Rattus norvegicus: one gene and its partner. The protein of the gene in region 2 purifies or fractionates together with the protein of the main gene of each other region. This does not show direct contact. Links are inferred from orthologs where the notes say so. Each region holds a gene or a part of one and is shown on either strand. Other genes may lie near its edges.

Evidence for each region. The genes of interacting proteins can lie anywhere in the genome.
Region 1: the proteins of Exoc6 (region 2) and Exoc8 purify together in Homo sapiens (affinity purification with mass spectrometry; 4 studies listed by BioGRID and IntAct, counting the BioPlex papers as one, with this or other methods). This does not show direct contact. The link is inferred for Rattus norvegicus from reciprocal best matches to the Homo sapiens genes EXOC6 and EXOC8.

Annotation. Positions count from the first base shown.
Region 1 is NC_086037.1:69,752,077-69,756,082, reverse strand, and holds Exoc8 (exocyst complex component 8), read left to right. Parts: upstream 1-1,206; 5' UTR 1,207-1,360; coding exon 1,361-3,511; 3' UTR 3,512-3,696; downstream 3,697-4,006. Other genes in the region: DNA-dependent metalloprotease SPRTN, read right to left, coding at 1-9, 610-830. UniProt on the Homo sapiens protein: Component of the exocyst complex involved in the docking of exocytic vesicles with fusion sites on the plasma membrane.
Region 2 is NC_086019.1:244,784,983-244,788,542, forward strand, and holds part of Exoc6 (exocyst complex component 6), read left to right. Parts: intron 1-850; coding exon 851-960; intron 961-2,595; coding exon 2,596-2,707; intron 2,708-3,560. UniProt on the Homo sapiens protein: Component of the exocyst complex involved in the docking of exocytic vesicles with fusion sites on the plasma membrane.

The DNA.
Region 1 (4,006 bases), on a different chromosome or scaffold from region 2:
CCAGCACACCTGGAAAACAGTCACGGACAATGGATTAGGTTCACCCAATGCACAAAGGAGACAGAACAAAAAACAAACCCTCGCCTGGCATGGTGGCGCAGGCCTTTCATCCTAGTCCGTGGGAGGCAGATGCAGGAGGATCTCCCAGTTCCGGGCCAGCCTGGTCTACAGAGTGAATTCCAGGGCAGCCACAGATACATAGTGAGACCCTGTCTCCAAAAAAAAAAAAAAAAAAAAAAGAGCCAGCAAATCCTTATCCTTGGGCAGTTCAACGAAAGTCCCTGATAGAGGGCTTTTTAATAACACTTGATCACCCTCACACCCTCACCCACTGTTATCCTCTCTGCTCCGCACCGGGACTTGTCACGGGGCCGATGTGAAGTTAGAAGTACGCTACGTCTCAGCCTGCTTCAGCTCAGGCTGCTATGTGACGGTGTATATGCAGGGCAGATTATTATCTAGAACAGGATTTCTCAAACTCAGTGGGTAGATGAGGGATCCTGCTGGTACATCTCTGAGAGCCGTTGGGCCACGAGGAGGGGACACACCAACGACAACTCAGCGCCCTTGCCCTTCCCTACGTTCCGAGCCGTTCGTGGGCGCACTCACAGTGTCATGCGCACACTCCACTTCACCTCCACGGCCTCCAGCTGACCCCAGAAGAAGCGATCGTTAAACTGCAGGAAGAGCGCCTGCAGGTCCGGGGTGGGGTCCACCAGCTCCCAGGACGCGTCCACCAACGATAGGGGCTCCCGCGCCGCCGCGCGCCGCGCCGCCTGCACGTCCCACTCCTCCTGCAGCCGCAGCGCGACCACCAGATCCTCGTCCATCCCGATACTCTCACTTCAGCCGCTCCCAAGACGCCGGTCGGGCTCGTGAGGCGTACGGATCTCGCGAGACCTCCCGGCCCCGCTGTCAGGGCGCGCGGGCTCGCCTCGAACGCCTAACCGAAGGTGGCTCGGCTCTGCCCCGCGGACACAGACTTAGGAACGCTGGGCTCGGGGTAGGGACGGCTTCAGGAAGCCAGTTGTCTCCAGACCGCCGCCGAGGTCCAGCGCCTCACGTCAAGTCTGGTCCGTGCCCGACCCTCCTCTGACTTCCGTACTGGCCCGTCCGCGCACGCGCCTTAAGACGCTGCCGTTTCCGCGCAGGCGCGTCGTCGACACTCCGCCCCGGGCGCAGGCGCAGTGTGAGAGTCTCGACTTTGGCACAGGCGCAATGCAGCGCTCGGCCCCGGCGCAGGCGTTTGGGTGTTGCTCCCGCCCCGCTTCCTCTACCGCTTCTCCACCGGGCTCGGGTGGGGCCGGGAGGCGGCGAGTGACAGCCACTGCGGGCCGCGGGAGCAGGGCGGGTGGCAGCCATGTCGGACAGCGGGGCGAGCCGCCTGCGGAGGCAGCTGGAGTCGGGGGGCTTCGAGGCGCGGCTGTACGTGAAGCAACTGTCGCAGCAGTCGGACGGCGACCGCGACCTGCAGGAGCACCGACAGCGGGTGCAGGCGCTGGCGGAGGAGACGGCGCAGAACCTGAAGCGCAACGTCTACCAGAACTACCGGCAGTTCATCGAGACGGCGCGCGAGATCTCCTACCTGGAGAGCGAGATGTACCAGCTGAGCCACCTGCTGACGGAGCAGAAGAGCAGTCTGGAGAGCATCCCGCTGGCACTGCTGCCCGCCGCTGCCGCGGGCGCATCCACGGGTGAGGACACGGCGGGCGCGGGACCGCGGGAGCGCGGGGCGGCCCAGGCGGGCTTTCTTCCGGGGCCGGCCGGAGTCCCTCGCGAGGGCCCCGGGACGGGAGAGGAGGGCAAGCAGCGAACGCTCACCACGCTGCTGGAGAAGGTGGAGGGCTGCAGGGACCTGCTGGAGACACCAGGTCAGTACCTTGTGTACAACGGGGACCTGGTGGAATACGAGGCAGACCATATGGCCCAGCTGCAGCGAGTGCATGGCTTCCTCATGAACGACTGTCTGCTGGTGGCCACTTGGCTACCACAACGGCGAGGCATGTACCGCTACAACGCACTCTACCCACTGGACCGCCTGGCTGTGGTCAACGTCAAAGACAATCCACCTATGAAAGACATGTTCAAGCTGCTCATGTTCCCTGAGAGCCGAATCTTTCAAGCGGAAAATGCCAAGATTAAACGCGAGTGGCTGGAAGTGCTGGAGGAAACCAAGAGGGCGCTCAGCGACAAGAGGAGACGGGAGCAGGAGGAGGCAGCCGCCTTGCGTGCGCCACCACCGGTCACTTCCAAGGGCAGCAACCCGTTTGAGGATGAGGCCGAGGAGGAACTGGCCACCCCGGAGGCAGAGGAGGAAAAGGTTGACCTTTCCATGGAGTGGATCCAGGAGTTGCCGGAAGACCTGGATGTTTGTATTGCGCAGAGGGACTTTGAGGGTGCCGTGGACTTGCTGGACAAATTAAATCACTATCTTGAAGATAAGCCCAGCCCACCTTCTGTGAAAGAGCTGAGGGCCAAAGTGGATGAACGAGTGCGACAGCTCACCGAGGTGCTTGTGTTTGAGCTCTCCCCGGATCGCTCTCTGAGAGGTGGCCCTAAGGCTACTCGAAGGGCAGTGTCTCAACTGATCCGTCTCGGCCAGTGCACTAAGGCTTGTGAGCTGTTTCTGAGGAACAGGGCGGCAGCTGTGCATACTGCCATCCGCCAGCTTCGAATTGAGGGCGCCACTCTGCTCTATATTCACAAGCTGTGCCATGTCTTCTTTACCAGCCTCCTAGAGACTGCACGGGAGTTTGAGACAGACTTTGCAGGCACGGACAGTGGCTGCTACTCTGCCTTTGTGGTCTGGGCAAGGTCTGCCATGGGCATGTTCGTGGATGCTTTCAGCAAGCAGGTTTTTGACAGCAAGGAGAGCCTGTCCACTGCTGCCGAGTGTGTGAAGGTAGCCAAGGAGCACTGCCAGCAGCTGGGAGAGATTGGGCTGGATCTCACCTTCATCATCCATGCCCTCCTGGTGAAGGACATCCAGGGGGCCTTGCTCAGTTACAAGGAGATTATCATTGAAGCCACCAAGCACCGAAACTCGGAGGAGATGTGGCGTCGGATGAACCTGATGACTCCTGAGGCCCTGGGCAAGCTCAAGGAGGAGATGAGAAGTTGCGGGGTCAGTAACTTTGAGCAGTATACGGGGGATGACTGCTGGGTGAACCTGAGCTACACTGTGGTAGCCTTCACCAAGCAGACCATGGGCTTCCTGGAGGAGGCACTGAAACTGTACTTCCCAGAGCTACACATGGTGCTCCTGGAGAGTCTGGTGGAAGTCATACTGGTTGCTGTGCAGCATGTGGACTACAGCCTGCGCTGTGAGCAGGACCCAGAGAAGAAGACTTTCATCCGGCAGAACGCATCCTTCCTTTACGACACTGTCCTCCCAGTGGTGGAGAGGAGGTTTGAGGAAGGTGTGGGGAAGCCTGCCAAGCAGCTGCAGGACCTTCGGAATGCATCGAGACTCCTGCGGGTGAATCCTGAGAGCACCACGTCTGTGGTCTGAGGCTCTGGTTCGATGCTGTGTGTGCGTCTGTCTGTCTGTCTGTCTGTCTGTCTGTATGTATGTATGTATGTCTGTACACACACATGTACTACAGATGCATTGTTTGTATTCACATTACACAATATCAACACATTCCTCAGACACAAACAGCATATAAAAGTGCCCTCTTAAAAATGCAGTCAAAAGAAGAAAGATAATGTGTTAAGTGCTCCCTCCCACATAGAGGGATTATTAGAGCACATACTGTGCTTTTTTTTTTTTTTAAACTCTTTAAGGAGTGTATGGTCACAGCAGCATTTCAGGTCACTCTTTAACCTGAAACACACTTGTCACAGTAGCACATCCTGGAACATTGCACTTCTGTGCTGCCTAGAAAAATATGCAAGTCCACAGGGTTTAAGTTGTGAAGCATTCCAGTTCAACAAAATGGCTTCTGAACGGTCATTGCTGTGTAGCGCCCCTGTGTCATGTACTCAAGAAGCAAGCCAAATTGGG
Region 2 (3,560 bases):
CAGCCTTGCTCCAGATTCAGTAAGAGAGCCTTTCTCAAGGGCTCTAGAGGGTTATGGCAGGACACTTGGGGCTCTCCTCTAGCCTCTGTGTGAACAGACATGGCCGCATACATACTCTGCATACACCACACGCTCGCACTCTACATCATACACACATATACATATATCAAAGCAGAATGACACAAAGCCCCCTGAGTCAGGAAACTGGCCTCTTCTTTTCCTGGCCACCCTGGCTCTTACAAATAGAAAGAAGCAGACAGGTTGCCTACATAGTTTGTGTATTAGCAGAACACAGAGAGTGTAGCCATGTGCAGCCTGTGCTTGACAGAGTCTCCACTGCGATCTAAGCAGACGATTAAATGGCTGTGGGTTTTCTGTTTGTTTGTTGAGGCAGGGTTTCTCTGTATAGCCCTGGCTATCCTGGAACTCGCTCTGTAGACCAAGCGGGAGTGCTGGGATTAAAGGTGTGCACCACCACCTCCTGTCAATGGCTGTGTTTTTAAAAAGATTCTGGATTTGTCTAAAATTAAACATAGGCTAGACTTGGCAGCACATGCCTGTAATCATAGCCCTTAGGAAGCAAAAATCAGGAGGACCACAGGTTTGAGACCAGGTAGGCTACCTAGTGAAATCCTATCTCAAAACTGCTACCTACCACCTAACTAAACGGATGAAAGTGAAAAAGTAAAACGTATAAAAATGATGTAGAAATAGAACCATAGAGTTCTCATACAGTTATTCACATTCACTTGTAAAATCATCTTACATTTTTTAACCTTTATAAGAGACTAGAATGTTGTTTTCTAAAAAGACAAATCTCAAATGCAGTATCAACTTTCTCTCTTTACAGCAATCCTTCCCAAAGAAGTTTCCCATGTCCCAGTCAGTGCCTCTTATTTATATTCAAGTTAAAGAATTTATTTATGCCAGTCTTAAATTCTCAGAGTCACTACACCGAAGGTAAGCTTACTCACATGAAATCTGCTTTTTAGGAGACATTGACACTTTATTTCTAGACCCTGACCCTTCAGTGGACTGTCGTGGACTGTCGTCTCACTGGAGTCGGGCTAACTATGTCTCGTCTTTAACTTCTGGTTAAATTAGTGTTGAGACTCGTATGCTCGTATGCTATATATGATTTGGTTCTTTTTTTTTTTTTTTTCGGAGCTGGGGACCAAACCCAGGGCCTTGCGCTTCCTAGGCAAGCGCTCTAACCACTGAGCTAAATCCCTAACCCCGCTATATATGATTTGATAGGAAGGGTCTTCGCCCCAGCGTCTAGATTTAACAGTAATAAATATTTCGCCATATATTCTTTCCCTATTTATTATTGTTAGTGGTATTTTATCCCGTGGCTAAGGATGTTTTGCCTACACGTATGTCTTTGCATTATGTGTGTGCCTGGTGCCTATGAAGTCCAGAAGAGGACACTGGGTCCCGTGGAGCTAGAGTTAATGCAGCTGTGAGCCACCATGTGGGTGCTGGGAATTGAACTTGAGTCCCCTGGAAGAGCAAACATTGATCTTGACCACTGACCCATCGCCTTGGCACCTTTGTCCATTATGTTTTATTAAGACATTCGAAAGAAAATTTCAGAAGTCATGACCTTTAACCTTAACTGTGCAGCACTCACTCCACACTGTGCTCCACACGGTGCTACCAGTTACTTAAAACCACAGCGCTAAGTCTGAAACATTAATGGCTTTAATATTGTGTGCCTTGGTAATTTGAATGTTTTTACAAATACTTATGTCTAAGCTAAATGTTGGTTCTTTTTTTTTTTTTTTTTTGAGCTGGGGACCGAACCCAGGGCTTTGCGCTTCCTAGGTAAGCGCTCTACCACTGAGCTAAATCCCCAGCCCCTAAATGTTGGTTCTTAAAATACAGAAATTCACATTCAATTAACATACTGTTAAATTTGGAGAAAGTATAGAAATTTAACGTTTCGGAATGACCTTTATATGAAGGCTGTTAACATTTTACCGTTGTTTAAGGCAGGAGTTCTAATGGGGTAATTTTGGTTTTCTTTGCTGCCCACTGTCCCCTACAATTGGCAGTGCCTAGAGACTTGGTTATCCCAGCTGTGGGTAGGAGTTCTCCCTGGAATGAGCAGGTAAGGACCAGAGGTGCTGCAGAATGTAGCGCACAGCACATGCTCTGGCATTCATGTGGCATCATATGCCCAGGCAAGCACTTCACCCTGAGTGCACCCCTAGGCTGTCGCCTTATTTTAAAAGTGACTTTTAGCTATGACTGTGTATAAAGTACTTCACAAAGTGACTATTCCACAATGGAATTATAATAGTGCTTTGTATAATGAACCTCATTTTTTTTTGTCTCAATTGACTTGATAATTTAAATTGTCATAAGTGAACATTCTGTTTTATGGGAAATGATCCCCCTTAAAATGAAATTGAAGTTTGTAGCTTAATGAGTTACTGTCATTCATAAAGAATAAACCAGAGGGACACATGATTTATATATGATGTAAAAGATAGGACAGAAAATTACTTTAGTGAGATACATTACATTATAGAGAGTGTATGACTGATTTCACTCTTAGAAAGCTTTATCCATGTGGATGTTTGTTTTTAGCTCTACAGAAATAGACGATATGCTTAGGAAGTCAACAAATCTGCTGCTGACCAGGATTCTGAGTAGCTGCTTACTGAACCTCATTAGAAAACCTCACATAGGTTTGACAGAGGTAAGAAGAAATAATGACCCGATGTTTTGCTGTGAAAGAATTGGGGCTGGAGAGATGGCTCAGAGGTGGCACACACGGCTTTTGCAGGAGGCCTGGGTTAGACTTCAGCACACACACAGCAGCTCAGAACCATCTGTAGCCAGTTTCAGGGTATCTGATAACTCCTTCTGGCTTCTGTGGGCCCCAGGCACACTACATATGTCATGCACAGGCACACATGCAGAGAAAACACCCATACACATAAAATAACAAAAAATTATAAATTGCTGTAAAATATTCTGTAGAGTAGCTTTGCACTTACAGTTTATTAAGGTAAAAAGACTTTCAAAAAGTAAAAGCATCAATCCAAGAACTGAGAGAGAGGAGCTAGGGGGATGGCTGGATGGTTAAGAGCACTGCTGTCCTTGCAGAAGACCCGGTTCACTTCCAGGCACTGAAATGGCAGCTAACCATATCCGTAGCTCCAGATCCAGGTGATGTGACCCCCTTTTCTGGCCTAATGTGCACGGTGTACAAGCCTACATGCAAATAAGACACATATATTTTTAAAAAATCAAGAAACGTGAGGGAAAAGCTTCCCTGGGGCATAGTAGACAGCTGGAGGTTTGAAGGGCGTAGACCTCAGACTTCACAGACAGTTGGGATCCTCAATTTGTACTTGTTACGTGTATGAGACCCACAGTTGCCATGGAAGGTCATTTCAAAATAATTGGCTGTGGACTCATAAAATGTAAATATTTTTAAGACAACATAAATGCCCGCAAGCAGTATTTAGGGCAGAGTTTTGAAATCAGTTGTATCTCGTCTTGCTGGAATTATGCAGAAGTAACAGAGGCAGGCTGGAAGTAATGAC